Diceros bicornis minor: one gene and its partners. The protein of the gene in region 1 binds, or shares a complex with, the protein of each later gene. Links are inferred from orthologs where the notes say so. Each region holds a gene or a part of one and is shown in the gene's direction. Other genes may lie near its edges. The genes, in order: KEAP1, NFE2L2, PTMA and FBXL17.

Region 1 (7,228 bases):
GTGACGAAATAACGGAGATAATTCTAGTGACAATACAGTGACGCGATGGCGGTCAGGGGATGCCTCTCTGAAGAGGGGGTAACATGTGATGTGAGCTGAGACGTCATTGTCCTGGGAATACTCGAAGGAAGAGCATTTCAGGGTGAGGGAACAGCAGATGCAAAGGCCCTGAGGCTGGAATGTGCCTGTGTGTTCTATGAAAAGCAAGGATCCCGATGTGCCTGGAGCAGCAATGGAGGGGGGAGAATGGGAGGAAACAAAGGCAGAGAAATGATGGAGCAGGTGGCCCAGGGGTCCACGGGAGGCCTTTGCTTTTGCTCTGAGTGAGATGGGAGCCATAGAGGGTTCTAGGCAGAGAAGGGACTTGACCTAGTTCAGATGTTCACAGATCTCTGTGAAGGGGGAAGGTGGAAGCTACGAGAACAAGGCGAAGGTGACTGCACTGGCCCAGGGGAGCGATGACGGGGCCCCAGACCATGTGGGTTAGGGGTAGATTTTGGAGGCAGCAACACAATTACTGAGGAATTGAGTGTGGAAATGATGGAAAGAAAGAAGCCAATCACAGCTTTCCAGTTTAGGGGACCACCAGACAGGGCACCCTAAAATTTGACTCTGGGAGACTCAACCAATTCCTATCCGAAACAAGACTTCTTTGAGTGTGGTGTCAGATCCTTCATACAAAATAAAAATATAATAAAATAAAAACAATGACGGCTTTTGTGCCTGGCTAGTCTCCCCACTGTGGCAGGCCCAGAACACACCTTTTTCCTACCCTTACTGCAACCCTGCAATGTGGGTTCCTGTACCCCCATTTGACAGAAGAGGAAACTTCAAGCCTTGTCCCAGTGTCTGAGCCAGGCTCCCAGGTCCCAGGAGGTGCAGGCCTGCTGTCTGGCTCCTCCAGAGGGGTCTGGCAAGGCCCCCTCCCTTGGGGGTCTGCATTCTGGGCCGGGGGCGATACCAGGGCCCCTTTTATGCCCAAAAAAGGCTCCAGGCGCGCTGGCCGCGGCCCCTGGCTGTCCCCAGGCGCATTCCTGACCCCTGAGTGGCAGGGCCGGCCCGGGGGAGGGGCGGGGGGCTCCGGGCTCAGACTGCCGCACGCCACCTGCCGGGAGACAGCGGAACTGCAGGCAGCCGCAAAGACGGGGGCGGGGGGGTATTTTGGGGACCACCGACTCAGCCTGGGGGCCTGAGTCTCCACGGGCCACGCGTGGCAAACCGACCTACTTCCCGGAACACAAACACACTGAAGCCTGGGGTCACCGTCCCAGGACACCCCCAGGACTGGACCCAGTTCCCCACCCGGCCTGGCGCCCCAACCTCCAGGCTCTTCCCGGGGAACCTGAGACACCCCAGCCCGCTATTCGGTTGTTTGATGGTGTGCTGGTAGGAGCTTTATTCACTTGTTCATATTCTAGAAAAGCCAGAAAGCACTAGTTCCCCTTCTTGGAGTCCATCACTGTGGGAATTCCCGGGAATCTTTCAGAGCTGTGCTGTGGATAAAGGAGGTGAAATGTAAACACATCTTTTTACAGAACGTCAGCGCTGCTCTGCATCTTGCTTTGTTCACTTAATAATGTATCTTGGAAATTGCTGCACACCCGCAGATTTTTTTGTGTGTGTGAGGAGATCAGCCCTGTGCTAACATCTGCCAATCCTGCTCTTTTTTTTTCTGCTGAGGAAGACTGGCCCTGGGCTAACATCTGTGTCCGTCTTCCTCCACTTTATATGGGACGCCGCAACAGCATGGCTTGCCAAGTAGTGCGTGGGTGCGCGCTTGGATCCGAACCCGGGAACCCCTGGCACCGCAGCGGGGCCCCCCGAGCTTAACACCTGCGCCACCAGGCCGGCCCCACATCCACAGATTTTGTAGTGTCCTGCTGTCCTAGTCTGCTCCGGCTGCCCTAACAGCATAGCCTGGGTGGCTTAAACGAGACATTTATTTCTCACAGTTCTGGAGGCTAGAAGTCCAAGATGAGGGTGCCAGCTTGGTTGGGTGCTGGTGAGGACTCTTTTCCTGGCCTGCACATGGCTACCTTCTTCCTGTGTCCTCGAGTGGTACAGAGAAAGCAAGAAGCTCTCTGATGTCTCTCTCTCTCTCTCTCTCTCTTTTTTTGCTGAGGAAGATTCTCCCTGAGCTAACATCCTTGCCAATCTTCCTCTATTTTTTATGTGGGTCACCACCACAGCATGGCTGATGAGTGGTCTAGGTCCGTGCCTGGGATCCGAACCTCAAACCCAGGCTGCCCAAGCAGAGTGCCCTGAATTTAACCACTGGGCCAGCCCCTGATGTCTCTTCTTATAAGGGCACTAATCCCATCATGGGGGTCCCACCCTCATGACCTCATCTAACCCTAATTAGCCCCCTATCTCCAAATACCATCACATTGGGGGTTAGGGCTTCAACATAAAATTTTTTTTTGGAGGGGGAGCACAATTCAGTCTGTAGCACTTCTTTTTTACATTTTTAAAAATCAAGGTAAATTCGTAGAGCAAATGTCTTGCTCCTTTTCACTGGCTACATAGTATTTCACAGCATGGATGTGCCGCCACTTAGCACACCAGGGCCCTAGGGAGGGACATGTGGGTTGAGTGCAATCTTTTGCCTGTAAGCACAGGGTGGAAATAAACATCTGTGTACATACATCCTCCTGCACGTGTGCGAGTGTACCTTGGATAAATCTCTACAAGTGTCACCGCTGGGTCACAGGACCTGTAGATTTGATGTTGAGAGATATGAGGGGTTGCCTTCTGGCGTGTTCGAGCAGGATGCGGGTTTCCGCACAGCGCGACTACGCCATGTCGACCCCTCTGGAGCAGTCCAGAACTGCAGCCTCACGCAAGAGAAATCAGGGGCCAGGTGGGGAACCCCGGCCTCCCATTTAATCCCAGACACTGAGCAGGGACCTTGAATCCTCCAAATTCACCCGGAAGGTGGACAGAATCCTTTCTTACACCAACCTCTGTTCAGTCTAGCGTTTCTTCTATTATTCACTTAGTTTTCATATAGATGGACTCTTTTAAAAATAATCTTACATTTATTGAAAAGTTAACTTTCTAGCATAAACAGCATAAATGGCAAATCAGTATCCCTTGTCATGAAAAATAACAATCGTTCATATTATTGGGCGGTAGCATGGGCATTTAGTTCTCCCGATAACCTGGCGGGTAGCTGCTCGTATTGTTACCAATTTATTTATTTATTTATTTTTGTGAGGAAGATCAGCCCTGAGCTAACATCCATGCTAATCCTCCTCTTTTTGCTGAGGAAGACGGGCTCTGAGCTAACATCTATTGCCAATCCTCCTCCTTTTTTTTTTCCCCCCCAAAGCCCCAGTAGATAGTTGTATGTCATAGTTGCACATCCTTCTAGTTGCTGTATGTGGGACGCGGCCTCAGCATGGCCGGAGAAGCGGTGCCACGGTGCGCGACCGGGATCCGAACCAGGGCCGCCAGTAGAGGAGCGGGCGCACTCAACCGCTAAGCGACGGGCCGGCCCTATTGTTACCAATTTATAGGTTAAGCTACAGGCCCACCGGCAGGGAGCTAGAGATTGCCAGAGCCGGGGTTCGAACCTGCGCAGACGAGCTCCACGCGCCTCTAGATTGGAGGTACCTAAAAAATAAAGACAAGGAAAACCGAACTCAGTAGATAATTCTAGCTGGATCCTGCGGCCGCCGGACCGTGAGGCCTGTGTTAAAGGAGGAGTGAGCCGTGGAGAGCAGCCCTGCGCTGAGACCACGAAATAGGGCGGATGGAAGGGACGGTGCCAGGGGGCGCCTGGCCATGCGGCCCCACCCGACGCCCCGCTCCTCGCCCCTGGGCGCCGGGCACCTGCGGGAAGGGCGGGGAATCGCGGCTCCTTCCCCGCCGCGCCCTCTCCGCCCTCTCCCCGCCTCCTTCCCGGGCGTCCCGAGGCCGACCCCCACCCGACGGCCGCGACCCCGCAGGCCTTGCGGCCCCGGAGCCGAGGTCCCCCGACGGCAGAGGCGCCCGGGGGCCCGGACAGCGACGATTAGGCGGGAGCCGCCCCCGGCCGGGCCGCGGCCCCTCGGGCTTCCCGGAAGCGCGGCGCGCGCGTGACACCACGGTGCATCCCCCCCGCGGCGCGAGCCACCCGGGCTGCGCGGGGGCCGAGGTGAGCGCGGCGGCGGCGGGGAGGGGTGTCCGCCGACCCCGGGTGCGGACTGGGGCGCACGGGCCTCGAACCCGAGGCCGCGATTCCCGGCGGCTCGGACCACGCGGCTGGGTGCGCCGAGGGCTGCGGTCCCCCGCCCCGCCGCGCCGCCAGGACGGGCGCTGTGGTGGCCGCGCCGGGGCTGCGCAGCTGGCGACATCCGGCGGGGGCGGGGGGGGGACGGCCCCTCTGTCGTCCCCGGGGCCGCGGGGACTTTTATTGTGACACGGCCGGCGCCGGGCTCTGCTTAGTCATGGTGACCTGCGCGCGCTCCGCGCCTCCCCCCGGCGCAGCGATGGAGGCGCCCGGGCCTGGGCGACGGAGGCGGAGCCCGAGCGCGGCCATGGCGGGGTGAGTGAGGCGGCCTGCGCCCGGGCTGCGGGCACGGCGGGCCGCGAGCGCCCCTGCGGCCGTGCCGGGGGCCGGGGGTCGGGCCGCCGCGGGCCCGGTGGCCTCGGGGTGCCCGCGGCCCCGCGGAGGGCCAGGAGGGCGCGGCCCGAGTCCTGTCCTTTTGTTGGACGGCGCGACCGGCGGGGTGGCGCGGGGGCGACGCCAGCCGGGCGGGAGGCCCGGGGAGCGCCGCTCCGATGGAGGCCCCGGGACCCCGGGGCGTTGGGGGCTTGGCGTGCGCCCTGGGGTTGGCAGTGGAGAGGCCGCGGCGGGGTCACTTCCTCCCTGCTCCAGGCCTCGGTGGAGGCTCCGACGGGGCATGCGCAGTCCCCCACTTACCGCTTCGTGGTGGTTGGGGGGGAGTGCCCAGCGCACAGCGGGCACCGTTGATCGATGGGCCAAAGACCAAGAGGCAGGCCCGGGGCCTCCGCCGTGGCCTGGTGGAGGAGGGTGCCCTGGCAGGCGCGGGAGAGCGGGCAGCCCGCCAGCCACACGCTCACTGACCCCTGCGCGGTGCCAGGCCCCAGGCCGGACGTGCGCGAGGCACATGCGAGGGTGGGCACAACGCTGACCCCCACTCCCTGCCCTCCGATGCGCGGGGGCGAGCGCCAGAGGGCCGGGCCAGCCCTCACCAAGTGAGCAGAGGAGCTCCTTTCGGTTCCCGACGAGCGCGGGGATGGAAATAAAACAGGCAGGAGGTGACTCTGAGCTGAGCCCCGGAAGGATGAGATGCAGAACCTGGGGAGCCTCTGCAGATCCCCCACTTCTCCCTGCGGGGCCTTTCAAAGCACAACTCACGCCCTGGCCCTCCAGACGCCGCGGGTTTCATGGAAACCCTCCCTTCAAGAGTCATTGTCTCTCCTTACATCCCTTCCTCATTCTGCCTCTGAGCCTTTGCACTTGCTGTTCCCTCTGCCTGGAACACTAACTCCCACCCACACCCCCTTCATATGTTCATCCTTGTTGTCTCGGCTCCAACAGAGGCCTGGACGACCTGACTTTAAGTAACTGCCTCCAGGTCACCCTGTCATTTTATTTATGGCCCTTTGCTCCCCAAGTGTCTGTTCCAGGGGGGCACAGTTTATGTCTGTCTTGCTCACTGCTGTGTCGCGGGTGCCTAGAACAGTGCCTGGCACACAGTAGACACTCAATAAATGTTGGCGAGGTGGATGAAGGATGAGCTGGACATGCTCTAGGAAGGGAAGGGCCACCAGATAGCAGGAAGAGAGTGAGCAAAGGGAAGAGGTGGAGAAGGGCTAACTGCAGGGGGCTTTGCGGGTCATCGAAGAGTTCGGTTTTTACTCTTCATGCCATAGGGAGTTGTGGGGGGATTCTGAGCAGGGGAAGGACATCATCTGACCTGTGTTAATTTTAAGAGGGACCCTTGGGCTGGCGACCCTTGGGACAGTTAGCGAGCCCACGTGGATGCTGCTGCACCGCGGCTTGGCAAGGAATACTGGTCTAGGGGTCGCTTTACCTTAAAAAGGAGGCCTGGCGCCAGGCCCCGCCCCCAGCCCTGTGCTCTCCCTCCTCCAGGCCCCTGAGTGCCAGTGGTGGTGTTGTCCCTTGTGGCCTGGAACCCCATGCAGCAGGAAGCCAGGCCTAGCGGGGCTGGGGCCCGCACCCGATTCCTGCCCCTGCGGTCACAGCGCCCCGAGGGGGCCGGGGACGCGGTGATGTACGCCTCCACGGAGTGCAAGGCCGAGGTGACGCCCTCGCAGCACGGCAACCGCACCTTCAGCTACACGCTGGAGGACCACACCAAGCAGGCCTTCGGCATCATGAACGAGCTGCGGCTCAGCCAGCAGCTGTGCGACGTGACGCTGCAGGTCAAGTACGGGGACGTGCCGGCCGCCCAGTTCATGGCCCACAAGGTGGTGCTGGCCTCCTCCAGCCCCGTCTTCAAGGCCATGTTCACCAACGGGCTGCGGGAGCAGGGCATGGAGGTGGTCTCCATCGAGGGCATCCACCCCAGGGTCATGGAGCGCCTCATCGAGTTCGCCTACACCGCGTCCATCTCCATGGGCGAGAAGTGCGTGCTGCACGTCATGAACGGCGCCGTCATGTACCAGATCGACAGCGTGGTGCGCGCCTGCAGCGACTTCCTCGTGCAGCAGCTGGACCCCAGCAACGCCATCGGCATCGCCAACTTCGCCGAGCAGATCGGCTGTGCCGAGCTGCACCAGCGCGCCCGCGAGTACATCTACATGCACTTTGGGGAGGTGAGCCCAGAGGGGTACCCGAGGGCGCTTGGGGGGCGGACTCGGAAGGACCCAGGACGCACAGGCGGGCCTCACCCTCTCCGCTGGAGATGAGAAGGGCCGAGGCGGGGAGCTGGAGAAAGATGGGGTTCTGAGCTCCTGGTCTACACATCTGGGGGGACGCCGGGACACGGCTGGGGACAGGGAGGCCTTCATGGGCTCCCTGGTTCCCCTGGGGTCAAGGGTGGGGACAGGGCGCAGTGAACATGACAGCAGCTCAACCTGGGGTTCACCGAGCAGGGCCTCACATTTCCGGCAGTCAGCAAATAGTTATTGAACCCCCCCCCCCCCCCCCCCCCCCCCCCGGGGACAAGCTGCCAACTGCCAGTGTGACCCTTCGCCGTGTTGTCTCTGGTCCCTGCAGTCTTGTCCTTCCGCACTGCTTGGTTTCATTTTCGTT
Region 2 (8,052 bases), on another chromosome or scaffold:
TTCTTCTCAGCAAAGCATTGTAGGCAGCCACTACCAATCAAGTGGAGTTGGCAATAAAAGTAAAACTTACTTGCCATGTTTGGGCCAGATGATCTCTAAGCATTCTTTTAATTCTGATATTACTCAAAGGCCAAAATGAGAGTCCATGGAATAGCAAATCCCAGAAGGCAAATATCTTGGTAAATCTTACTTCCTTTTTTCACATTCCAGCCTCTGAAAGTGTTAAAGGCTTCATCTGCAAGGCCTGTTCTTCCATCATTACATTCTACTTTTTGTTTGTTCAAAATGAAAATAATTTAATTGATTTTTTCCCCCTAATTCTAAAAGTGCTTACTGTAAAAATCTGAACAATGCAGAAAAGATGAAAAAGTGATAAAACTGAATTGTCTGATTTTGTATACTCATTATTTGGTAACTGGCCCTGAAGACATACTTCTAGGTATAAGTGTTTTTCTGTACTCTGTTTATTTTCACCATACAGCAATGTTATGTATGGGAAACTTTGCATATCACTCCCAAGCTGCAGCTGTTAGTCTCTACTCAATGTACTCATAAAATTCCATCTTTGTCTGGGGCTCCTATTTTGCTGAGTGAAACTTTGCAAATATAGCAGATTGAAAGAGCAAAGGATCTTTAGACTCTTTCCACAACCACACTTAAAGATGTGGTTAAATTCTCCAGGCTCCACTCTAGTAAATGCAGAATGGAAAGATTTTCAAAACTTGTGGTTAAAATTCAAATTGAAAATGAAATGGACCCAGTGGCTTGGGAGAAAAGCAAGTGTTCCTTCCTTACCACTACACGCCACCACCACTTTTTTTGCTTATCATTATAAAAGTAATACATATTTATTTAGGAAAATACAGACAGGCAAAAATGAGAAAAATAAAATTATCAGTAATCTAATCAGAATGATTATGGTTAACATTTTGGAGTGTATATGTTCAGTCTTTTTTTCCTGTGCAGGTATATTTATATAGGTATCAACACATATAATTCAAAAGCACTCTTAAACTTCTGAGCTTTTCTCTTTACTTACTGCGCTGCAGTTCCTGCAGAGTACTGTTTCTATTATGACCAGGAAACTCTATGAGTTAAAACTGGCTTTGGAGATATACAGCTCTTTGTATCAGTAGTTTGCATAGTGAAGTGTGCACACCAAGGAACCAAGGTTATGGGTGTTTTTTTGAAATTAATACCCCAATTATTTTGAATGCTGCTGTACTGGAGTTCAGTTTATCCACTGGGCATGCTGCTCCTGAAGTTCAAATTCCCTCAGCAGATATTCAGCAAGTATCTTACATAACTGGTATAAATGAGGTCACGTCAGGGCCAGAATCTCTGTACGTGTTTATACCTCCATCTACTTAATTGATGAAATATCTGTGTTCCTTAAGTGTATTTTGATAAGGAGAATATCTCACTATCATCTATTTAATAGTATGATACTGATGCATGCTGTGATGAGGTGATTTACTTTGTATGTAGCAACAAGTATATATTATAGGAAAGATACCTTCCTCCTTCACAGGGAGGGCAATTTGCTTCTGAGGATTTGAGAATCTGTTAAACTGCAAAGTACCATCCCTATATGTGCTCCTAAGGATGATTAACAAACAAAAGGCAGCCAGGAGAAACCTTGCCTTCTGTATTCAATATATGCTGTTTTCGTTATCTATTGCTGTGAAACAAACCACCCCAAAACTTAGTGGCTAAAAATAACATTATAATCTCTCACAATTCTTTCGACTGATTGGGCTCAGCCAGGCAGTCTTCTACTGGTCTTGCTTGGAGTTTCTCATCTATGGTTGCAGTCAGAAAGCAGCTGGGGCTGGAGTCCTCTGGGGCTTGACTAGGTAGGCTGGAAGGTCCAAGTTGGTTTCTTCACTCACATGCCTGGTGCCTTCTTGGCTCATATAGCATCTCTCCACTTGGAGTCTCATCCCCCAGGGTTGTCCCCATGGCTGTCTTCCCATGAAGAGTGAAACTTCTTACATGATGGCTGACTTCTAAGAGTATAAAATTAAAAGCTTTCAGGCCTTTTAAAGGCTTAGGCAGAGACCTGGTATAGTGTCACTTCCAGCCTCCTTCCATAAGTTAAAGCAAGTCATTTGATTCAATGTGGGGGGACTACACAAGCACATCAATATCAGGAAGGGTGGTTCATTGGTTGCCACCTTTGGAAACTAGCTGCTTGTAAGCTGGACAAATTTAGAATTTCAACTCTAATTTCAAGAGAGTCTGGATATTTTCTGGCTTGAACAGGGAGTACAATTAAGGGGAAGTGAAAAGAAGAGGGAAGAAGTCTCAAGGTGATGAAGGATTTTGAAACAGTGGTACTTTCTTGGGCCTTTCAAACTTGGCACGTTAGATCACCAAGAAGAAGGTGAAATAATGGGTCACTGCATCACTATCCAAACTTTGCACACTCAGAAGGCTTACTTGATGATGCTCATTTTTTATAAGAATTCTAGAGCAAAGTATTACAATTCTGACACATTTCTAGCATATATGGAAGGTTGTCTTTCCAAAGACAGCAAAAAATTCAGACATCAATGGAAATGTACAAGGGTTAGTAGAATGTGAAACCAAGTGGGGGAAAAAATAAAATAGTAGCTAGGAGACCCTAGCAGTAAAAAGGACTCCCCTGGCACCAGGACAGGAGAAAAAAATCAGCATCCTCTTTCCTGTTCCCCTGGAGCTTCTGAACGTGCAGCATCTGTGCCCCCATAGCACAATATGTAGGTTTAGAGGGGAAGGCCTAGGTTTTCACATGAAGACCATCTCATTTCAGTGTTTGCAAAGACTGAGAACCTCCTTGACATGGGTGGTCTGAGACTGGGGTTCCCTTTTCTTGTGCTGAACCACCATTTAACACCAAACAGCTTTTCCTTAGTGTTTATTTTTCTTAAACATGTTCAGACTCATCATATTGTTCTCCTCCCTTTGAAAATATGTACTCTGCAGGTGCCTGAAATAATATACTTTCAGCAATTGCCGTTTTGTAAAAGTAAAGGTTATTTCATTCAATCTAAACTCAATGGAAAATTGTTGCTTAACAAGGAAATACCAAACACTTTATAAACTCCTTGAGGGCAGCAACCATGTCATATATGACTTTAGTATCTCCTACCTCCTGGGCTTATTGTCTGCCTTCACAGATTTAGTAGTATTAATAAGTAACTTGAATTGTTAAGAATATACTCTTGTGCCCTTCTTTGACGCAGACATGTCATTTCGTTATGTCTCTGCATGTTTCATGTCAGATTCATTGTAAATAACTTCCCCTAAACTTGTTTTCAGTGTGCAGATCATTTTGCCGGCTTTTCACATAACATCTGAAAGGGTTTAATTCAAGTTGAAGAAGCTTGCTTCAATTACAAGCAATTAATTTAGGCTTCACTTACCTCAAGGAATATTTGAACATATAAATTTACAGATAAATCCGGGGAGTGTCAAATTATGCAACCAAGAGAAAGTATGTTCTTTGCAGATTTTAGGGCGTTGATCTGCTATAGTCAGGCTTTTTTTTTTCCCCTTGGCATCAGGTTTTTGAATGAAATAGTAAAATCACTGCGGGCACTGTCTACTCACCTGGTTTTGCATAATTCCAAGAAGCTAGAAACTGAAAAGCAGACTTGTTAAAGAGTGAGGAAGATTGTTAATGTATAAAAGAAAAAACCAAAACAAAACCATTTATCTATTCTCTTTTAAATCTTGAAAGATGTCACAATATTCCTGTTTTCAAGTACTTGAAGTTTTCTGTGGGCAATAATTAATTTTTAAATAACTGTTTTTAATGTAATACATAGTCATTTTAGATTTAAAACATACTTAAAGTAACAAAGAGAAAGATAAAAATTATTCATGATTCTACAACTATTAATATTTTGGCGAACAACTTTCAATTTTTTTTCTAGGCACATGTTTTTACAAAACGGGTCCATATCATACAAACTATTATATAACTTGATCTTTTTTATTTTCATTTTTATCTTTTAAGTTATATCGTACGTGAAAAGAAACTTGCAAAGATTATGGCATGTTGCATTATCGCAGTGTTAAAGGACGCCATCTCTGGTGTGGTGCGCGCGCCTTGGTGGGAAGAGAGAGCTCCTGGCCAGCAATACTGACCACTCTCCGACCGAAAGAGACTTCTCCGTTTGCCCTTGGCAACCTGAGTCTAGTAAGAGTGCAAGCGCGTAGGAGTAAGTGGAGGGCGTTCAGGGTGATTGCGAGCACGAGCTCCCCGCGCGGTCCACATTTCCCCTGGGCAAGTCCCACTGGCTCCAGCCCCGGGGGGGGGACCGATGGCGAGAGGCCAGTTTGCGGTGCGCACGGCCTGGGTCCCAGCCTTCGGCCCCCGCCCCCGGGGCTGGCGCCACTCCCGGGCGGTTGGGTGAGATAAAGCGGGGCAAGGTTCTGCAACTCCAAATCAGGGAGGCGCAGCTCCGATACCAGCGCCTCTGCCGGGTCTCCAGGCGTGTTTGTTCCAACTGTTTAAACTGTTTCAAAGCGCCGGAACCCCAGCGACCTTGCAAACAACTCTTAATCTCGCGGACGGAGAGCGTGGGTTTTGTTTGCGGGGCAGAGCAAATTCAGAGCGGAGACCAGAGAGCTAATGCAGCCCTCCTCCCGGCACCCCGCCCGCCTGTCCACAGGGACCCGCGCCCGCGGCCCTTCCCCGCCCCCAGACCGCCAGCTTCTTGCGTCAGCCGGGGCGGGGGTGGGGGATTTTCGGAAGCTCGGCCCGCGCGGCCAGCGGGGGAAGGAAGGGCCTGGGCTCGTGCCCCGCCCTCGGGGGGCGGGAGGCGGAGCAGGGCAAGGGCCCGGCCGGCGACTCCGGTTGTGTCGCGGAGAGGGAGACCCGAGGAGCCGCCGCCACCCGTGCCGCCCTGTCCGCGCCGCGCCTCGGCAGCCGGGACAGGGCCGCCGTCGGGGAGCCCCAGAGCACGGTCCACAGCTCAGCATGATGGCCTTGGAGGTGCCGCCACCGGGACAGCCGTCCCAGCAGGTGCTGCCCCGGCCCTCCGGGCCCCGCGGTAGTGCCAGGACGGGGACAGGGGACCGAGGGAGCCGCGGCCCGGGAGGGACAGCTGCAGCCGGCTTCTCCTCCCGTCTATGGCTGGAACCTGTACTGCAGCGGCCGCGCACTGGAGCCGCTGCGCTTGCGCCGGGGCCGGGCTGGGAGGGGGAGTGGGGACCCCAGGGGCTGCGAGTGGAGTGGGGGGCGCGGTCGGGTGGTCCGACCAACAGTGTGCCCGCGGCCCCTGAGGGCGACTGGGTTGGGCTTTGGGGGCTGCGCCCACGCGCGTGGGGTGAAGGGGTGTCCCCGGCCGCCGGAGCTGGGACGCGGGAGCCCCGGCCAGCCCCCCGAGTTCGAGCAGTCCCACGGGCGGCAGGGCAGGAGGGGGCGGACGCTGGCGGTCTGAGCCGGCGCAGCCCGGCCCTTCCGGGGCTGCGCGGCTCCCCCGCCTCGGAGTCGGCAAAAATGTGCCTAGTCACGGGGCCGCTCTCGGGGGAGCTGAGGTCCCCTCCGGGCAGAGACCCGGAGCCCCTCCTCTGCCGTCGCCCCCTGGCCCCATGAGCTCCGGGAGCGCAGGCTGCGGTGCGGCGCTTTCACCCCGCCGGGCCGTACAGGAGTGCTTCTTTGCAAAGTAATCAATCAGTCTCCCCATCCGATCGCTCTTAAGCACTTGGGAGAGAAAGCCCAACCCCCAGGGTGGGGGAGGGAGGAGGTCCTGAAGTGCCCAGCTCGCTCCGATACCCCGACGTGCGGCGGCGGCACCGAGCCCCGCGCGCTCCCTCGTGCGGTGGGAAAAGTTTGGGCTCGTAGACCCCGGGTCGGCCGCTCGCAACGCGCCGGGAAGTGCAGGCGGGGCAGCGGACTCGGAGGTCAGAGTCGGCCGCGCCCCGGGCGTCTCGATCCCCGCGCGGTGCCTCCGGGTGGCGCACGCCGCGTGCGTGGCCTCGGCCTCCGTGACAGTGGCCAGTTGGCTGTCACGGCGGCCCTCGGTTGGCCCTTTCCTGCTTTATAGCGTGCAAACCTTGCCGCGTCGGGGCCAAGGGACAAGTTGGAGCTGTTGATCTGTTGCGCAATTGCTATTTTCCCCAGGGCGGCTTTGTCTTTGGATTTAGCGTTTCAGAATTGCAATTCCAAAATGTATAAAGCAGGATATTCTCTTCTCTGCTGTCAAGGGTAAGAGTTGCTAGTGTACATTAGCATTTCTATTGCTTTTAGGCTGTTAGTAATTTTTTGCTTTCATATATTATTTCTCCTTTGAGTGCTTTATATAATTTTCCTTTTCTGTTTGACAATTTGCCTCGATTTCTTGGCATGTTGCTTCTTTTGCAGGGGCAGAGGATGAGACATTTGTGTTTCATAGTTCTTTGCTAACAGGTTCTGTAAATTGTTATAAAAAGTGAAAACAAGTTTCTGTTCATACTTTGTAGAGACTCTTAAAGGAGTAGATATTTATATTTCCAAATTTTTTTTTTGTACTTGGATTCGTAGGAAAAAATATTTGGTTCAAGGAGATGTATAACTTAATAGATACAATAAATATGTTTGTGCTCTTAAATGTAAAGTTTTAGACTGATCCTGAAGATCTAAAGTAAGGTTTTAAGTTACTGACAATGTATTAATTGTGGTTTTTTTTCTTTAAAGCTTTTTGTCTTGAACTTTCCCCCAGTAATGATTAGGATTGTATTCCTCGCCTTCCCACTACTATGAAAAAGTAAATTGTGTTTTCTATTTAGCTGCTGTTCAAAAGTAATCTATATAGCCATTTACATAGTAATCTGTATGACCAAAAGATATATGATGCTAATGGACTTTAGTTTTCCTAAATTCAGGAATTGTAGCCTAGAGCCCTCTATTTTTTATTTTTTTCTTTCTTTACTATGTAATTTAACATTCTATATACAAAAATGCGTAAAGCACATGTACTGCTTTCTCTTTTAAATATGAATTTTCCAGTTATGTTTGATGAGGTAACTGCCTTTCCGCCTTTGTAATCGGACATCAATATGCATATTTGAAGACTATGAAAAAAGAAAATGAAGTAAAATTTAGAATCAATTTCATGTGTATAACTATGATTCATATTAAATCACTGTTTGTAGTCCAGAAAGATTTGAACAAAGAGTCAGAAGTGGATTCTGACCTTTTTTCAGGAAACTCCAGGTGTAAGATAGGAGTATCATTCAGTTTTTCGTCTTCTGTGCAGAGGAGGTTTATAACGAACAGGGCAGGAAGGAGAGTCTTCAATTCTGTATTTCCATTAGGTGGAAGCAACCATCCATTACTCTTTTCAAGAAAAGAGTACTTTCGTATAGGAGGGATGAAGTTGATCTTGGCAATAGACTGATAAGATTATTTTTAAAAGAAAAATAGGACAGGCCTCTCATCTCCTGAATGAATGTTAAGCAAAGAACAACTTGACTTTTTAGATAGGTGAAGAATCTCTTGAGAGATCATGGAAGTGGCATGCAGGAGGATAAATACACAACTCACATCAATCTTTCTGCATTAAAAATAACTTGGTCCATTTTGGAATCTTTCTTGTTAACTTGGGTTTTTATAAAGAATGCTGGAAAAAGCAAGTGTCTTTCTTTAGGATTACCGGGAAGAGTTGAAAGCCAAATACATTATTTTTCTTAATATTTATTTTTATTCAGGATGAATTATACTTACAGAGCTGCATGAGAAAAGGAATTCTCTGTGGACAATAAGCACATTTTTTTTCCTGGGAATTTCCTCGCTACTGGCTGAACGCATTTAAAGGGGGTTTTGCATAAATAATATTTCCTCGATCTGGGGTAACTTTTCCATGTAAACGCTTGGGTGCAGGAAGAATTTGGCACTATGACAATGATAGATGAGTTATTGGGCACTTCCTTGCGTGCCAGGCATTGCGATAATTGCTTCACATGCGTAATTTCACAGTAACCCTGTGGGAAATACTATTAGCTCCAGTTTCTAGGTGAGAAAAGAGGCATAGGGAGGGCAAGAGTCCTGCTTAAAGTTACCCAGCTATTGAGTGGCGGAGG
Region 3 (7,860 bases), on another chromosome or scaffold:
ATACCCCCTTTCCTTGGGGGCAATGCTCTCGAAGGCATTCCCAGGCAGGGTGACTGGGAATGTGTCTGCACACGTGCTCCCCCCACAGCACTTTCACCTGCCACCGTGATGCTGGGCCCACACACTCACAAACAGTAACCAGAGCTTAAGCAAAACACCCACGGAGCTCGAGCTATGCAAATAGGTGCGCACACACAGATGCATGCAGGGATGAGGGGCTGGGAAATGGCGCGGGCAGGCAGAAGATTCCTGGAGACATTGCAGGGGGCACGTGCACGAGGAGCCCAGAACTGGCATCACGGCACGAGTGTGCTCAGGAAGCAGTGATGGCCGTGTACACAGCACATACACCTCCCCCAGCCTCCTGAGCTCGTCTCCAACCAGGGCATCAGTTTGGGGGCATGCCCGGAACATCAAGAGATGCTCCCCCCCTCTCCCCACCAGGCAGGAGCCTCTCGGGGCAGCCAGACCTGTGTGGTACCAGGGCCTCTGGCACAGCTCCCCAGGAGAATGGGCAGGCCCAGGCGTGCTGCACAAGGGAGCAGGCATGTTGGGGGATGGCTCTTACACAATCCCGTCCGGTCGGCAGGGCGGGAGAGTTGAAAGGCCCCTGGCAGCTCCCCAGGCCCTTACGCCTGGGCCAGGAAACCACAGCCTGAAACTCCTGGGTTTCTGAAGGGCGGGATTTTTTGAGGCCTGCTCTACTCAGGCTGCCGCCCAGACTCTGTCATTCCTCTGAGGCCAGAGGGGCTGCCAAGCATGTTGGGCATGGAATCATAGGCTTCCAGAAACTCAGCTAGGCCAGTGCCCTCATTTCCCACTGAACATGGGATGAATTTGCTGAAGACATCGTTCCTTTGTCCAGAGTCCTGCAAACAGTGTGACCCACTTAGGTACAGATGGCAACTGGAAAGGGGGGTCCCGGGAACATGGATGGTTTTCCCGGATGTGCCAGACACTATTTTAAGCACTTTCTAAAAATTAACTCGTTCAGTTCCCACTATAATCCTGGAAGGTAGGTACTATTACTGTGGTCTCCATTTTTTAGAGTGAGGAAGTAACTCACCTAATTTCACATAGCTAGTGTGTGGCAGGGCTGGAACTTGAAGCCAGGCAGCTTTACCAGCATTTATAGTCTTTCTGGTCTTTTGGGAATCAAGCAGAATTTAAGACAACCAGTTAGGAATACGGTGGAAACGGCTTAGCTGCAAGGGTTGAAAACTTAAGTGCCTACAGGGCTCAGCAGGTGAAATAAACATGTGACTCAGGACTGGCAGGGAGAGGCCTGTGGTCCAACTGGAAAGTGTGTAGACAGCCCACGCCATGTCCATATGCAAATTCCCTAAAAACAAAACTTGCCCGGAGGCCATTTGGGGCCCCTGGCTTAGACCAGTGCACTTCGGGCTGTAAACAGACCGGGGCCAAGAAATGCTGCCTTCCTGGGCCTACCAGCTTGTCTGGGGTGGGTTTGAAAGGCCTCAGAAACAGCAAAGGGCAAAAATGCCTCAATGAGTGGAAGTTAACAGGGGCCAGGAAAAACAGCCTGTTCAGAAACAGCAAAGAGGTGGGGAGTTGCCTGTCACTGGGGGAATGAGGCTCTTGGTAGCCTAAATAACTCCACCAGTTACGAGCTGAGCCATCAAATGCCACACTCTGAGGGCAAGGAGGAGGTTCAAGGAGGCCACTTCTGCTCCAGGGCTCATCTAACAACGCAGATTCCTCCATCCTAGGATTTTAGCCCCAGCCTGGTCACTGAGTTACTTGGTTACTGCAAGTCCCTTGCCATAATCCCTTGGTCTGCTTTTTTGACTTGTTAAAAGGAGAGTGATAAAATATTAGAGGTTGAACCTATAAATTTGCTGATTTTTAACCAAATTTTTTTGGTTTTGACCTACAAAAACACCAATTTTCATACGATTCAACCCTATAATTGTCCGGCCTACCTTGCAAGGTGCAGCAAATAAACGAAAATGCTTGACGTATGAGCCAGAGTCTCACTGCCACATATGCAGCAGGCACTCAGTGAGGCTAGGCAGATGTGAATGCTGGTTCCAGAACCAGGTGGATGTGAGCCCCTTCCTTATCCACTTCTAGCAAAGCCAGCTGCACGGGGACAGGGTCAGGCAAAGCAGTTCCTCGAGGGAAACTCACTTTCACCTAGCTCCTCCCCCATGTTTGCCCCTGCCCCCCCACCCCAATGGCCAGAATCCAGAATAGTCACGTATAGTTTTCAGCTGTGGACAGAGACAACTACCTAAGGCCACCATCCAGACAGGGAAGACGACTCAATCGCCTAGATGTGGCACAGACCAGGCTCTCGCCGCTACATCCGGGTTTTGTGGACTAACAATCCCCTCGAGGATAACCAGAGCTTAACGGATGCGCCGCAGGTAGAAGGCGCTCTCCTGCCCCATTTATGATGTCGCAAATCCCTCCACCTCTCGGAGAATGTGGCACAAAGGAGGGGGGTCGCGGCGGCGGGGGGCAAGAAGTCCCCTCCTCCTCTGGGGCGAAGGGCGGCCCCAGGTCCGCGGAGCAGTAAAGGCAGCGGCGGCGGGAGGGAGGAGGCCGAACAAAGAGTTGGGACGCGTGGTCCTTGGGGACACCATTGTCAGTCCCTTGGATCGGCTCGCGCCCACCCTCGGGAGAATCCCACCTCCAGCCATTGGGGCGCCTTGGGGCAGGGCGGAGACCTGGCGGACGCCTCCTCCGCCGCCGCGTAACCGGCACGGGATGGCGACCGCCGGGCAGAGGGAAGTGGTGCGGTGCCCCCGCTCTGTCCCGTATGTGCCCCATGTTCCTCCAGGCCAAAGGACAGGGACCTCGGGCTTCTCTCTGCCCAAAGGACAACTCGTTCGGGGAAGTCCTACATGCCAGCGGCCAGACTGTCAGATGGGAACAGGGATGCGAGCCTGACGCGTACAGGACAGGGACAGCAGGAGGGGGCCCAGACCCGGGTGGCGCCCCGGCACTCGTGCCTCCTCCCGGCCGGGCAGCGGAGCCCGGTCCTGGGGAGGCAGCCAGGCGAGTGCGTGGTACCCACAGGAAAGGGGAGTCTCGCGGTGGGAATGGGGGGCCCCTAACCTAGGAAAACCAAGAAGGGCGACTCAGTCTCTCCGTTCTCTTCTGATTTCAAGCTTTAATGGACTTGGCACCCGTTCCCCCTCCACGATCCCAGACTCCGGGTTTTCTCCGTTCCCAGATCGGCGGCCCCAAGAGACAGACAGCGGAATCTGCCAATGGCAGGACGCAAAGCGTCAACTTTGTGTTCGCCCGCCACTCTCAGCCAATGTGCGCTCGTTTCTCCGAAGTCCCGCCTTCCGTGTCGGGCGCCCCCTGCTGGCAACGCAGGAATGAACCGTATCCGTCGCCATCTTGTGTGTGGCACAGATATTTTTCTGGAACATCTTTCCACCTTTTCCAATTTTTCCTCCCACACAGCTGGTTTCTTAGTTCGAGAGCCGAGTGCAGTGGCGATAAGGAGGGTGTAACCTACGGTTTTCGGATCGCCTGCGTAGGTCGGATCGCCGCGTCACGCCACGCTTGCCGAGCCCAACGCCATCTTGAGTGTGGCGTTAGGATGGTTCCCTTCTCGGGGCTCCGCGTGGTTCCCCAAATGGCGCCCTGAACTTCAAGGAGCCCCCAAGGACTAGCCCAGCTGGTCTCAGAGACGGTTATTTCCCCCCAATAACCCCGCAATGTATAAGTTCGTGTGCCCCTCGCAGCCCCTTAAGTGGGGTGGGAGCGGGGCAGATTCGATGGCCGGGACCTGGAGAGAGGCTCCCTGAGGCTGTCGCGACGGCAGTCACCGACCGCTTGGGGCAGGCGCTGTCCAGAACCCTGTAGTTCAGGACCGCTGTGTGGTGCGACGCCCGCGAGCTAGGAGTCCTGCTCGAGGGCAGGAGCCCGCTCCGGCCCTCGCGCCCCCTCGATGCACGAATCCCCGAGTGTGTGTGCTTGGCACGGAGCCCGCTCGTCGGCTGGCTCAGGCGGCGGAGGCCTGGGCTGATGGTGGGCGACGGGGTCCCCTACCCAGGGACTCCGGGCGCCCGGGGCTGGACGTGGTAGGACGGGGCGGCCCAAGTACGCGGCTCTCGGCCTCGCACCCTGATCGCCCGTCTTTGGGGTTTCCGCCCACTTGCACTGGGACCACTCTCGGTCGAAGGTGCCCAGGCGCCGGGGGCGGGCATCTCCGCGGGCACTGCGCAGGGCACCGCCCGGGGCGAGCGCAGCCCAGCACCGGGCCTTCCCCTCCCCCTCGCTGGCAGCCGTCGCGAACGCCGGCCGCCGCCTCCTCTTCCCTCCCCCTCCTTCCGAGCAGTCGCGGGGAGGGGGAGGACTGGGGACTGGGCGGGTAGCTTTGCCGCGCTTTGGCTTTCTGCGTCAGCAGCCCCAGCAAAACAGCAGCGGGAGCGAGCGTCCTGAGCGCGCCCGCGCGCCCCTCCCCCCGCGGCGTCGGCGCCGCGGAGACCCGGCAAACTCAGGCCTTGAATGACAGTGCGGCCGGCGACTGCGCAGCGCGGGACGCACCAAGGCACTGCCGCTTTAAGCACGCTTGCCCATTGTTCGGAATCGAGCCAATGAGCGAGCGCCCGCTCCCTGCGCTCAGCCAATAGTATTCGGGCAAGGGAGGCCGAGCGCCGCCCACAAATCTATATTAAAGGTTCTGGCGCCGCGTGAGTTCCCCACTGGCTGCTCTGAAAAGCCATCTTTGCATTGTTCCCGTGTCCGGCTCCCCGCTCGCCGCAGCCGCCTCCGCCGCGCGCCTCCGCCGCCGCGGACTCCGGCAGCTTTGTCGCCAGAGTCCTTGAACTCTCGCTTTCTTTTTAATCCGCTGCATCGGATCACCGGCGTGCCCCATCATGTCAGACGCGGCCGTGGACACCAGCTCCGAGATCACCACCAAGGTGAGGCTGGACGCCGCCCGCCCCTTCGGGCTCCGCGCGCCGCTGCCGCCGGACCGGGGTTTTGCGCGTGGTTGCTGGGCTGCTCCGAGCCCGTTGTTACTCCTTCCCGCGGGGAGCCCACCTGCCCCCGGCCTAGGTCCCCAGGCAGCCCACTCTTTGTGTGTGCGGGGGGGGGGGGCGGGAAGCGCCAGACGAGATGCCCGTCGGGGAATGGGCCGGGCGCCCTCAGGGACTCCGGGGGGCGGGCGCGGAGGCTGAGGGGCTCGTGGGGAGGCTGCTCCAGGGCTCCCGAAACTTGTTTGTGACTGGTCTGAGCAGCGGCGGGAGGAAAGGGTCTGGGCTGGGGGTCGTCGGCCCGCGGGGCGCACGGAAATAACTTTGAAACTCGAGCGCGTTTGCAATCGGAAGTGTTGGGGGGGCGCGCGTGCGGGCGCGGGCCGGCTGCGGGAAGTGGCGGCTCCGCGGCGAGCGCCCGGCGGCGGCGCTGCTCTTTGTTCCGCGCCGGGCCGCTCTGTTTCGCGCCTTGCAGTGGGTCCGAGGAGGCTTATCTGGACTAAGCTCCGATAAGGCGGAGTGGGGTGGCGGGCCGGCCGGCCGCGACGTCGATCGTCTCCGCGGAGATGCGAAGCTTCTCTCCGCCCGGGGTGCCCTCGGGGAGGCGGGGGTGGGCGTCCTCCGGGGGAGCGCGCCGGGAGCAGCCGCCCAGCTTCAGTAGTTCACCAGCGATGCCGGGCTTGGCTGAGGAGGAGGCGAGCCCACGCGCTGAAGGAGAGGAAACGGAAAGTGAAGGAGCGGCGCGCCGGGGCGACGATGGGCGCCCCCCGCGGCTGCCCGGGAGCACCGTGTGCGCGGCTCTTCGGGGGCGCCACGGGCGAACAAAAGCTGTGGCCGTGGCTGGCCGTGGCGAGGTCGAGCCGGGCGCCGGGGGCCTGTCGGGGCTCGGTGCTGCGGGTTCATTGCCTTCGGTTTTGAGATTCTGCGCGTTTGGCGCAGCTCCTCTCCTGCGCGCCGCTTTGGTTCCGCTGCTCGCCCCGGGGAGCGTCTCCACCCTCGGCGGGAGCGCGGCACTTGGAAGTGGACCGGCTTTTTTATCCTTCGGTTCTTGTCCGCGATCCTCTCGTGTCCCTGCGGGGACGGGCGCGAGTCACCTTGGCGTCTCCTTAACCTCGGTGCTTCTGGCGTCACCTCTGGTTTTCCCCCAGGGGCGACTCCCCCGGCGGAGCGGAGCTTGCGATCTGCCTTGCCGCAGGGGCTCCCGCCGGCCCCCTCTGGGCCCAGCCCGGGAACTAGTTTGGGGAGGACGATCGGTCCTCTTATGTGCAGGCGCCCACGTTCGCTTTTTCTCCAAGGTGTTTTTCCGCTAGGGGCAATAAATCGCCCCATGGAGCGCGTCCCCGACGGTCTCCGACTGCGGGGCTGAAAAAGCCCCGCGGACTTCGGGGCGGCCTCCCGCGGGACTTTGCCCGCCAAATGCAGAGCCGCAGGCTGGCGCATCTAGGCCCGCGGGGGGGGGGGGGCGGCGGGAGGCCCGGAAAGACCGGCGCGCAACCTGCGCGCTCGGCGGAGCCTCGCGAAGCCGGCGGGCCCCGGGTCTCCAGGGTCAGGGGCGCACTCGGCGGCCCCGGGCCACGTGCTCCGCGCGCGCGGTGCGTGCCGAGGCCCGCGCGCAAAGCCCGCCGGGCGGGGGCTGTGCGCCTGCGCGCCGCGACCTCCCCGCCCCCACCCGCTCCCCGGGGCTTCGGCCGCCAGGGGGCGGGAACGGGCGGCGCTGGGGTCTGCGGCGGGCTGGCCGGCCGGGGCGAACAGGGCCGACAGGTGCCCCCCGGCCTCTCGCTGGACGGTGCCGGGCGGCCCCCCGCGCCCGGGCCGCTCGACGCCTGTTTGTGTTGGCGGCCGGCTCGGCCACGCCGGGTGGAAAAAGTTACGGAACTTAGGAGCAGCCGTGGTGGTTCTGCCCTTTGGAACGCGGGCCGTGTGCGCGCCGCGAGGTGCGGTGCGATGGCTACCCCGAGTCACCGCGGGGACGGGCGAGAGGCCGGGAGGGACATGGGGCGGTCCTGGGCGCACGTCGCCGGCGCCCATTTCCAGGCAGCAATCTGTGACCTTCTGGGACAGCTGTCGGATATGGGACATTGGTAGGATCTCGGTTTCTTCAGAGACCTACGCTTGCCGGGTCTTGGGCGCCCGTGGGCGAGGAACTCGGGCTCGGCTGCGAGGACTGGCGGGCGAGGCGGCCTCCCCAGCTCTGCCTGTTCGTTCCCGCCCAGTCCCTTCCCAGGCTGGTCCACCCCCGGGAATTCTCCCGCGGTTTCAGGGTTCTCCCTACATGACTTGGTTTATTTATGGTGTATACGTGCTGCCTTCCAAGAAGGATTTGTGGGAGGCGGAGCTCCTGTGCTTGGAAACAAGTCGGTGATAGGTGTGTGAGTGAAGTGTCCCGGGCTCGTCCGCCCGGCCAGACGGGTTTGGGACTGTGCTGCCACATGGCTTCTTTCCTCAGAAGCATGAGTATGTGGGCAGTGGGACCAGACGTAGTGGGCCCTTTTTAGTATGTTAGTGTGCTTTAAGGGTTGAAAAATCGGCTGAAATCTTGTCCATAGTCGTGCTCGGTATGCTGTGGTCCCTCCTTCTAGCGGTTCCATATGTAACGTGCGGCTCTTTCACCTGTGGCTGTCCAGGTCAGCACGGCACGTACACCTGTAGCCTTTGGGCCTCTTTGCCAGCCCTGGGTTACTTAGAAGACTTACTGGTTTACTCTTGCTTTTTTGAAGGACTTAAAGGAGAAGAAGGAAGTTGTGGAGGAAGCGGAGAACGGAAGAGACGCACCTGCTAATGGGAATGCTGTGAGTGTCCACCTCGCTCATGACCCCTAGCAGCTCTTGGCCGAGAAGTTCTGTTACTCCGATTTTGGGCTTAGTCCAGGTGGAGGAGGATGCTGGGCCCCGGGCACTTG
Region 4 (7,609 bases), on another chromosome or scaffold:
TCAGTGGGAGCCATGGCAGGTTAACTGCGCTCTACTTATATCATTGGTGCTACAGGATGTTTTAGCTATTTATAACCACCTTCGTTACCCAACTGCAACCATTAAAGCCTTTTTTTTTTTTTTCCAGTGAGTAAGATCAGCCCTGAGCTAACATCCATACCAATCCTCCTCTTTTTGCTGAGGAAGACTGGCCCTCGGCTAACATGAGTGCCCACCTTTCTCCACTTTATACGGGACGCCGCTACAGCGTGGCCTGAAAAGCGGTGCCTTGGTGCACGCCTGGGATCCGAACCTGGGCCGCCAGCAGCCGAGTGCCGCGCACTTAACCGCTAAGCCACGGGGCCGACCCCCATTAAAGCCTTTTATACATGAGTGTCTTTTTATAGGCAAATGTGAATTTCAAAGTGAGTATATTCTGTGTTGGCAAAGAAGAAAGAAAAGTTTTCTTTTAAACTGTTTTTCAACATTTTAAATTTATTTACTGGCTTTCAGTGTGAATGTCACTACGTCGTAACATGTCTACCCCAGGTTTGAATTTTATTCAAATACGAAAATATTTTATATTACAGAATCCATTATTTCACAAGTTATATGCTGAAATAAGTCATATGAATACACAAGTTGCTATTCCTGACTATCCATTTCCCCCTCCTCTTGAGTTCATAAATAAGTTACTAAATCCTGAGAATCCTGAGAAACATATCAAATGTTTCTCAGTCCCACCCCTACTTCATTATCCCCACCATGATTGCCTTAGTTCAGGCTTTTAAGGCCTCTCCATTGACCCTTTGAACAATCTTACCTAGTTTTCCTGCTAAGAGCCTCGTCCTTCTCTAGTCCATCTTCTATACAGTTGCCAGATTATGTTCCTAAAAACTGAACAAACTCCCTGTCCTCATGGGCTTACATTCTAGTGGAAGAGACTGAATAAAGTAAAAGAATGACAATAAACACGTGATAATGAGGTATAAAGAAAATAAAAATGAGGTAAGAGGAAAGGGTAAAGGAAGAAGTAATTTGTTTTATTGAGATATAATTGACATACAGCACTGTATAAGTTTACAGTGCACAGCATAAGGAGGGGGTAATTTTGGATAGGGTGGTAACATTTGATTATAACAAATGTTCATGCACTCCAGAAGCCAAAGACCAGCAGGAACACACCCATAATCAAAGCGAGTTGGGTTTATTGACTTGTCACAAGGAGGCAGATAGCACACCATGAGGAACTATGGAAAGCCTCAGGAAGAAGGTGTTGTAAAAGACTTATTACAGGATTGGGCTTGTGTTAGGTGATTTTGGGAAGAGTCAAGGCTTTGGTTTAGATTGGACGCTGTCAGGAAGCAGAGGTAATTCTATGATTGGATATTTTAATAATTGTTATCTAGAAGGTAGGAAGAATGGAGCAAGGCTAAGGTTGTAATTGGTCAAGAAACAGAAGTCACTTATATTAGCCAGAATGGTCATTTTTGTGGTTTGGAGAATGTTCTGGCATTTGCTGTGTTCAGACATGATTATGGAGGTCTTATTTCTGTCTTGTCTATTACGGTCACAGAGTGGCCATGTCTGACGTTGACGTTTTGTGAGATCTGTTTATGTTCAAATAGAACACTCAGACCTACCTGAGAACGTCGGTAACACCAAAGAGTAGCTAACAGTTCCAGGCCAGCTCCTGGATGATCAGGCTGCTTTTCTTTTTCCCACTAACAAAGCCATAAAGTGCTATAATTGTCTCTAAATTGCAATTTATAACTTTTATTCATAATTCTGTTTCCTGAATATTTACAATGTTTATCATTATTATTTAGGGTAATGAGCTCTAAAACTCATTACAGCTCTGCTGACGACACGAGTAGCTTTCTTAATCATTACTAAAATATACAGGATCCTCTGCTACATGCTGTTGTAAAGAGAAAAACAGCCACCTGCTTGCGGCTGAATGGCTCGGGAATCGGATTTAAGAACTACTGCTGTGAATTTCGGAAACCACTTAAAAAGTCTCAGAGTCACTTGCCTCATCTCTGAAAACAAAAAGTTGGAGTTATACTATATGTGCAGTTCTGATAGGGTTGCATGGTGCCAGGCTGTCTGTGTAGTAATCACATGGTGAGCTTGTTAAAATCTGGTAGAGCTTCTAGGGCCCCAACTCCAGAGTGTGATTCAGCTTCACTTTTTGAAATTCCTACACATTGTTGTCTTTAAAAAAAAAAAAAATTGCTGAGTAGTATTCCATCGAATGAGTATACCAGTTTATTTATCCAATCTCCTACTGATGGACATCTGGTCTGTTTATAGATTTAGGTGATCATGAATAAAGCTGCTATTTTTGAACAAGTCTTTTTGTGGATGTATGCTTTTATTTTTTTAGATAAATACCTATAAGTGAAATTGCTAGGCCATAGTGTGTGTTTAACTTATATGAAACTAATGGGTCCACAATTCTGACATAGAGAAAGTAATAAAAAGGTTTAGAACCCCTCCTTTTGCTCACAGTGTAGGCTGGTAGAGATGCCAAAGGATCGGTTATAACTCCTAACCTCCTGTCCTCACCTATGGAGCTGTGGGGCCCTGGAAGATCCCTTTATAGTCAGAGGGATGAAAGCTGTGTGGATAATATCTGTACATGAATGTAGTTTGGGCAGTGCATTTGATAGGGAGTAACAGGTATAAAAACCTCTACAAAGATTTGACAAATCTTTGCCTCTAGGTTTCTTGGAATTCCATCTCACTGTGATCAAGCTCAGAAAGGATCCCTGAATGTTGGCAGACCTAAAATAAAAGTCATTCCTGACAAGCCACTGTTAGCAAAGGTTCCTTGGTGTGTTTGGGTGAAGGCTGGGTGATGCTAGCCACTGTGGTGGGAAAATCACACAGGCTCAAACAATGGTCTCTAAGCCAATAGGCCTTGGATCTTGCAATAGTGCTTCCTTAGTCAGTTCTCTGAAGTTTTTAGTAGCTTTTTTAAACACCTGACACTTTCCTTCCACCCTTCAGCAGGTAACCAGGCTTCACATAAAGGAAAATAGAGACCATTTGAAAGAAACTCTTTCACTTTCTTGCCAGAAACATCTATCTATCTGTATCCATTGTTTATCTGTCCTTTCGTTATTCCTTCCAATTACAAAGAAGATGGTAGCCCTCGTAAGGTACTCACCAGTCCATCTTCTCAGGGGCCTTGTTGTATCATCTCTTCTCGTATCCCTATGTTTTCCTTTATACTGGCTCATTCCCATCTGTGTTTAAGCCTCTTCCAATTTCTCCCTTGGGAAAGCTAACCTCTCAACACCAGCCACCGCTTTGTTAAATTGCTCTCTCTCTCTGGTATCATAGTCAAACCTTCTAACGGGTTGTCTCCAAAGCCTATTTGCTCTCTCTCATCTGGGTCCCCAAGGTCCGCCTAGAACCGTCTATCTTATAGCAGGCACAGCACAATCATTCTTGAAATATATGATGGATGGATAGCTGGGATTCCGAGGGTGCAGACGAAAAAGTCATCTACAGCTTGTAGCCTGGGATGTTGGATGACTCACTGGGTTGAGAAACTGTTTATTTTTCTGATATGTATAGGCAATTTGATATATGCTTTCATTTTGAACTAAAGTTATGAAAAGTCAGTAGTCTGCCACAAGCAACAAGTACGAAAACAAGTCGGAGAAACACGGCAGTGCTGCACTACCAATAAGCCCCTCACGTAAGAACACAGGTCCGTCTCCTCCAAAGGCCACGCATCTGCCACTCCACCGGAGGCAGCCGGGACCCAGGGTGGCCTTCCGGCGGAACCGGCTTTACGGCTCCTTGGGAGCCTCGGTCTCCTAGACCGGGGGTGGGGGTTGAGGGGAAGAGCGAGCGGCTCCCGGCCAATGGCAGTTCTTGAACTTACACCTACAGACGTCAGCGCGGCTGTGCAAACGGATGTCACACAGCTGGCTCGGAAGCGTCTCCTCCCGCCCCACGAAAGGGGCGTGGGCCTAGCGGCCTCCGCGAAACCTTGGGCGACCGGAGGGAGGTGCGTGCGCCGCTCCCCGCGAGCCCCGCGCCCTCGCCGGCCCGCTTCTTCCCAGCAGTCCCTGCCTAGCGGCTGTCCCGGGTGAGCAGCCGGGCGCCCGCGCCCCCGCCCCGAGCGCGCCGCCGCCGCCGGCTCCGCCCCCTCCCCGCGCGGGCCGCGCGCTCCTGTGGTTTCGAGCTGTGTCGCGGGCGCGCGCGCCGCCGGCGGAGCCGCAGTTAAAATGGTCCGAGCGGGACCCCGCGTTCCCCCTGCCGCCGCACTGACTGACTGAGCCGGCGGGCCAGGCTCGGACTGGTCGCCTAGGCGGCAGGCTCGCTCCCTCTGTCGCGTCCCCAAAGCTCGCGCCCATCGTTCTCCCGGCTTCCCTGGGCAAAGCATGTAGCCCCCGTCGGGCGCCGGGGCGGCCCGCATCTGACGCCCACCCCCCACCGTCGCGCGTGTGCCCGTGGGTGCGCAGGGCGGGCGACCCCGCCGCGGGCCCGAGGCCGAGCCAGCGAGCGGCCTGCCCCGCTGCCGGGAGCCCGCCTCTCCGGGCCTCCCTACTTCCCCGTCCCGGTCCCTCTCCCCGGGGCCTTCTATATGGGCCACCTTCTCTCGAAGGAGCCGCGTAACCGCCCGAGCCAGAAGAGGCCTCGCTGTTGCAGCTGGTGCCGCCGCCGCCGTCCTCTCCTCAGGTTGCCCCGCCGGACCCCGGCCAAGGCGCCCCCTCAGCCGGCGGCGCCCCGGAGCCGGGACTGCTTCTTCCGCGGGCCTTGCATGCTCTGCTTCATCGTGCACAGCCCCGGCGCGCCCGCCCCCGCCGGCTCAGAGGAGGAGCCGCCGCTGTCGCCGCCGCCGCGGGACGGGGCCTACGCCGCGGCTGCCTCCTCACAGCACCTGGCGCGGTGCTACGCGGCCCTGGCTGCCGAGGACTGCGCCGCCGCCGCCCGCCGCTTCCTGCTTTCCTCGGCCGCCGCCGCCGCCGCTGCCGCCGCCTCGGCCTCGTCGCCCGCCTCCTGCTGCAAAGAGCTGGGGCTGGCTGCGGCTGCCGCCTGGGAGCAGCAGGGCCGGAGCCTTTTCTTGGCCAGCGTGGGGCCCGTGCGCTTCCTGGGGCCGCCCGCCGCCGTGCAGCTCTTCCGGGGGCCGACCCCGCCGCCAGCCGAGCCCCCCACGCCCCCCGAGATGGTGTGCAAGCGGAAGGGGGCCGGGGTCCCCGCCTGCACCCCCTGTAAGCAGCCCCGCTGCGGCGGTGGGGGCTGCGGCGGCGGCGGTGGCGGCGGCGGGGGAGGACCCGCCGGAGGAGGCGCCTCGCCGCCGCGGCCCCCCGACGCCGGCTGCTGCCAGGGTCCAGAGCAGCCGCCGCAGCCTCTCTGCCCCCCGCCCTCCTCTCCCACTTCCGAAGTTGCCCCCACAGAGGCCGGCGGGGACGCAGTCCGAGCGGGGGGCACCGCCCCCTCGCCTGCCCAGCAGCAGCATGAATGCGGCGACGCGGACTGTCAGGAGACCCCCGAAAACCCCTGTGACTGTCATAGGGAGGCGCCCCCTGAAACCCCAGACATCAATCAGCTGCCGCCATCCATCCTGCTCAAGGTGGGTCTGGGCGAGTGGCGCAGGGATGCGCGCTTTCCCTCAACCCCGGCCCCCCACCTCGGAGATTTTCTCTCTCCTCCCCCTGAGCGCAGAGGAGGGGGTTCCCTGACAGCCAGAGAGGTCCGAAGGGTAGATTGCAAAGCCAATGGGGAGGATGCTTATGGACTATTTTTTGAAGTAGAAAAACTTGGAGTCTACTGAATGTCTTTTAATAACTTGGGTCTATTAGGCACAATTCAGAGTTCATCTATCATTAGATTCCCAGCCCAGGGGTTTAGAAACTATTCGTAGGTGTTCTGTGAAATATTTTCATCAGTTGAGCAATTTTTACTTACTGGGTAAAGATTTTGTGTACATATTAGTGTTTGAAAGTCTTCAAACAGTACTTTGAGGTTTGGTAGTTGCTAGTTGATGTCAATAACAGCTAACTTTTACTGAGCGTTTACTATGATCAGGCACTGTGTCAGAGCTCTATATACATAATGTCTCATTCAATCCTCCAATTACCACTGTGAGATAAATATCGTAAACATCTTTACTTTATACAAGAAGAAACTGATATTTCAGTGCTATGTGCCTACAGTAGTCAGTCAGGCGGAAATTGTCTTTGCTCTTATGGAGCTTACAGTCTAGTGGAGCTTGAAGAGGTTGAATGACTTGTCCAAGGTCACACACAGAAAGTAGGGGGTAGATCTGGATCTTGAACTAGGGAATTTAGGCTTGCCTGACTTGAAAACCCTGTTGTTTGTGCTGTGTTGTATTGCCTTTCTACATTTTAACCCTTACATAAAAGCGTACAGATTACCAGAAGGTAACAACAGATGTATTTTTTGTTGGGGAATGGGCCAGTGGAGAAGAGGTGAGTGTCCTGTGGGAGCTTTGTCTCACATTGAACTACAAGTAAATTTTGCAGTTTTGTTGATGCTAGTGACAAACTTAATTATGTGGTAGAGTTTGTATTAAGTTATTATTAACAAGTTAGTTATTTTTCCTCATTTTCTCTCATCTCCCCCAACTCCCACCCCCCCCCACACCTTTCTGGAGCTTAATAAATATAAACCTCTTTTTTCAATGTGGATGATATTTAAGACTAGCCAAAAATAACCTAGATAAAAATTTGGCTACTTTTATTGTTATTGAAGTAACTGTCATCAATTCCATTTGTTAGTGTCATCAGTATACTTTCTTTGTTTGGTTAGACTTTTTGCCTATCTATAATCCTGTGATTTTTGGGTCTGTTTTATTGTGATATTAATGTTCTTGTGAATAATACAGCAAAAGAATGGGAAAGCTTAATTTTTCCTTGTGTCAGTAGGTAATGATTTAACTCTTATTGAGGTGTACTTGTTGGCGGAGTAATTGGTTTCTGTGTGTGTTCAGGATGTGCATTTTTAGGGCAGAAGGAACTTCCTTGAGTCTTTTAAATCAGTGGATGACATGGACAAATAAAATATCAACAAATATTTGGTATAGAGGTTTGATTGCTGTCTTGTTATTGGGCAAGTAAGACTGTTTAAAACCAAACCAAAACGGAAACCAGGTACTTTCTACCTAAATCATTATTTCATGAGGTAGAGAACGTTATAATATAAAAAGAAGAAAGGAGGAAGGACATGATCTCGTAATAAAGAGAATTGCTATAGAATAAATTTATTCTATCAGCTACATTGTTCTTTCTCGCATTTTTGCTGTGGACTTTTGAAAACTTGGTCTGAGGAACATATGAGAAATACCGGTTGGACTTGCCCTGTTGTGTCAGAGTATTTGCACATGTTATGTAGATTTCCATTCTTTGTATTAGAAGCTTGAATAAAGATTCTCTTGTGGGTCTCATGGTCCTAGTGGTTCAGCATGAAGTGAGTTGGATTGTTTGGAATGAATTGAAATCGAGGTTTTTCAGTGTTTACCAATCCAAGTAGAACTTTTAAGGATAAGCTTTTTGAGGACAGAGGCTCTATCGAAATAGATCTTGTTCATTGCTCTGTCCCCTCCCCTAAGTGCAGTGCCTGGTATTTAGTAGCATTCAGTAAATAT

Evidence for each region.
Region 2: the proteins of KEAP1 (region 1) and NFE2L2 are in contact, whole or in part, in a crystal structure (PDB 3WN7), measured with the Mus musculus proteins. The link is inferred for Diceros bicornis minor from reciprocal best matches to the Homo sapiens genes KEAP1 and NFE2L2. Residues at the interface, in NP_001103775.1 of Mus musculus: Tyr334, Ser363, Gly364, Arg380, Asn382, Pro384, Asp385, Gly386, Asn387, Asn414, Arg415, Ser431, Gly433, Cys434, His436, Ile461, Phe478, Gly480, Arg483, Ser508, Gly509, Tyr525, Gln530, Ser555, Ala556, Tyr572, Phe577, Ser602, Gly603; in NP_035032.1 of Mus musculus: Leu19, Ile22, Leu23, Arg25, Gln26, Asp27, Ile28, Asp29, Leu30, Gly31, Val32, Val36, Phe37, Phe39.
Region 3: the proteins of KEAP1 (region 1) and PTMA are in contact, whole or in part, in a crystal structure (PDB 2Z32), measured with the Mus musculus proteins. The link is inferred for Diceros bicornis minor from reciprocal best matches to the Homo sapiens genes KEAP1 and PTMA. Residues at the interface, in NP_001103775.1 of Mus musculus: Tyr334, Ser363, Arg380, Asn382, Arg415, Phe478, Arg483, Ser508, Gly509, Tyr525, Gln530, Ser555, Ala556, Tyr572, Gly574, Phe577, Ser602; in NP_032998.1 of Mus musculus: Gln40, Asn41, Glu42, Glu43, Asn44, Gly45, Glu46, Gln47.
Region 4: the proteins of KEAP1 (region 1) and FBXL17 are in contact, whole or in part, in a crystal structure (PDB 6W66), measured with the Homo sapiens proteins. The link is inferred for Diceros bicornis minor from reciprocal best matches to the Homo sapiens genes KEAP1 and FBXL17. Residues at the interface, in NP_036421.2 of Homo sapiens: His59, Thr60, Ala63, Ile66, Met67, Glu69, Leu70, Gln75, Leu76, Gln82, Lys84, Ala90, His96, Val98, Ala101, Ser102, Ser103, Ser104, Pro105, Val106, Lys108, Ala109, Met110, Thr112, Asn113, Gly114, Val122, Ser124, Glu126, Gln163; in NP_001156787.2 of Homo sapiens: Asp395, Arg397, Arg421, Lys423, Asn447, Gln473, Tyr475, Met524, Arg548, Asn572, Cys574, Leu575, Trp577, Glu596, Tyr598, Val600, Ser601, Asp623, Trp626, Lys628, Tyr647, Met651, Arg652, Val676, Leu677, Asp679, Cys680, Thr683, Leu684, Arg686.

Annotation. Positions count from the first base shown.
Region 1 is NC_080769.1:8,739,549-8,746,776, forward strand, and holds the start of KEAP1 (kelch-like ECH-associated protein 1), read left to right. Parts: upstream 1-3,981; 5' UTR 3,982-4,138; intron 4,139-4,241; exon of another isoform or gene 4,242-4,528; intron 4,529-4,635; exon of another isoform or gene 4,636-6,103; 5' UTR 6,104-6,150; coding exon 6,151-6,789; intron 6,790-7,228. UniProt on the Homo sapiens protein: Substrate-specific adapter of a BCR (BTB-CUL3-RBX1) E3 ubiquitin ligase complex that regulates the response to oxidative stress by targeting NFE2L2/NRF2 for ubiquitination.
Region 2 is NC_080749.1:57,827,112-57,835,163, reverse strand, and holds the start of NFE2L2 (nuclear factor erythroid 2-related factor 2), read left to right. Parts: upstream 1-4,965; 5' UTR 4,966-4,969; coding exon of another isoform or gene 4,970-5,014; intron 5,015-5,982; exon of another isoform or gene 5,983-6,199; intron 6,200-8,052.
Region 3 is NC_080776.1:20,082,791-20,090,650, forward strand, and holds the start of PTMA (prothymosin alpha), read left to right. Parts: upstream 1-4,690; 5' UTR 4,691-4,862; coding exon 4,863-4,907; intron 4,908-7,678; coding exon 7,679-7,750; intron 7,751-7,860.
Region 4 is NC_080740.1:31,796,495-31,804,103, reverse strand, and holds the start of FBXL17 (F-box/LRR-repeat protein 17), read left to right. Parts: upstream 1-4,524; 5' UTR 4,525-4,585; coding exon 4,586-5,575; intron 5,576-7,609. UniProt on the Homo sapiens protein: Substrate-recognition component of the SCF(FBXL17) E3 ubiquitin ligase complex, a key component of a quality control pathway required to ensure functional dimerization of BTB domain-containing proteins (dimerization quality control, DQC).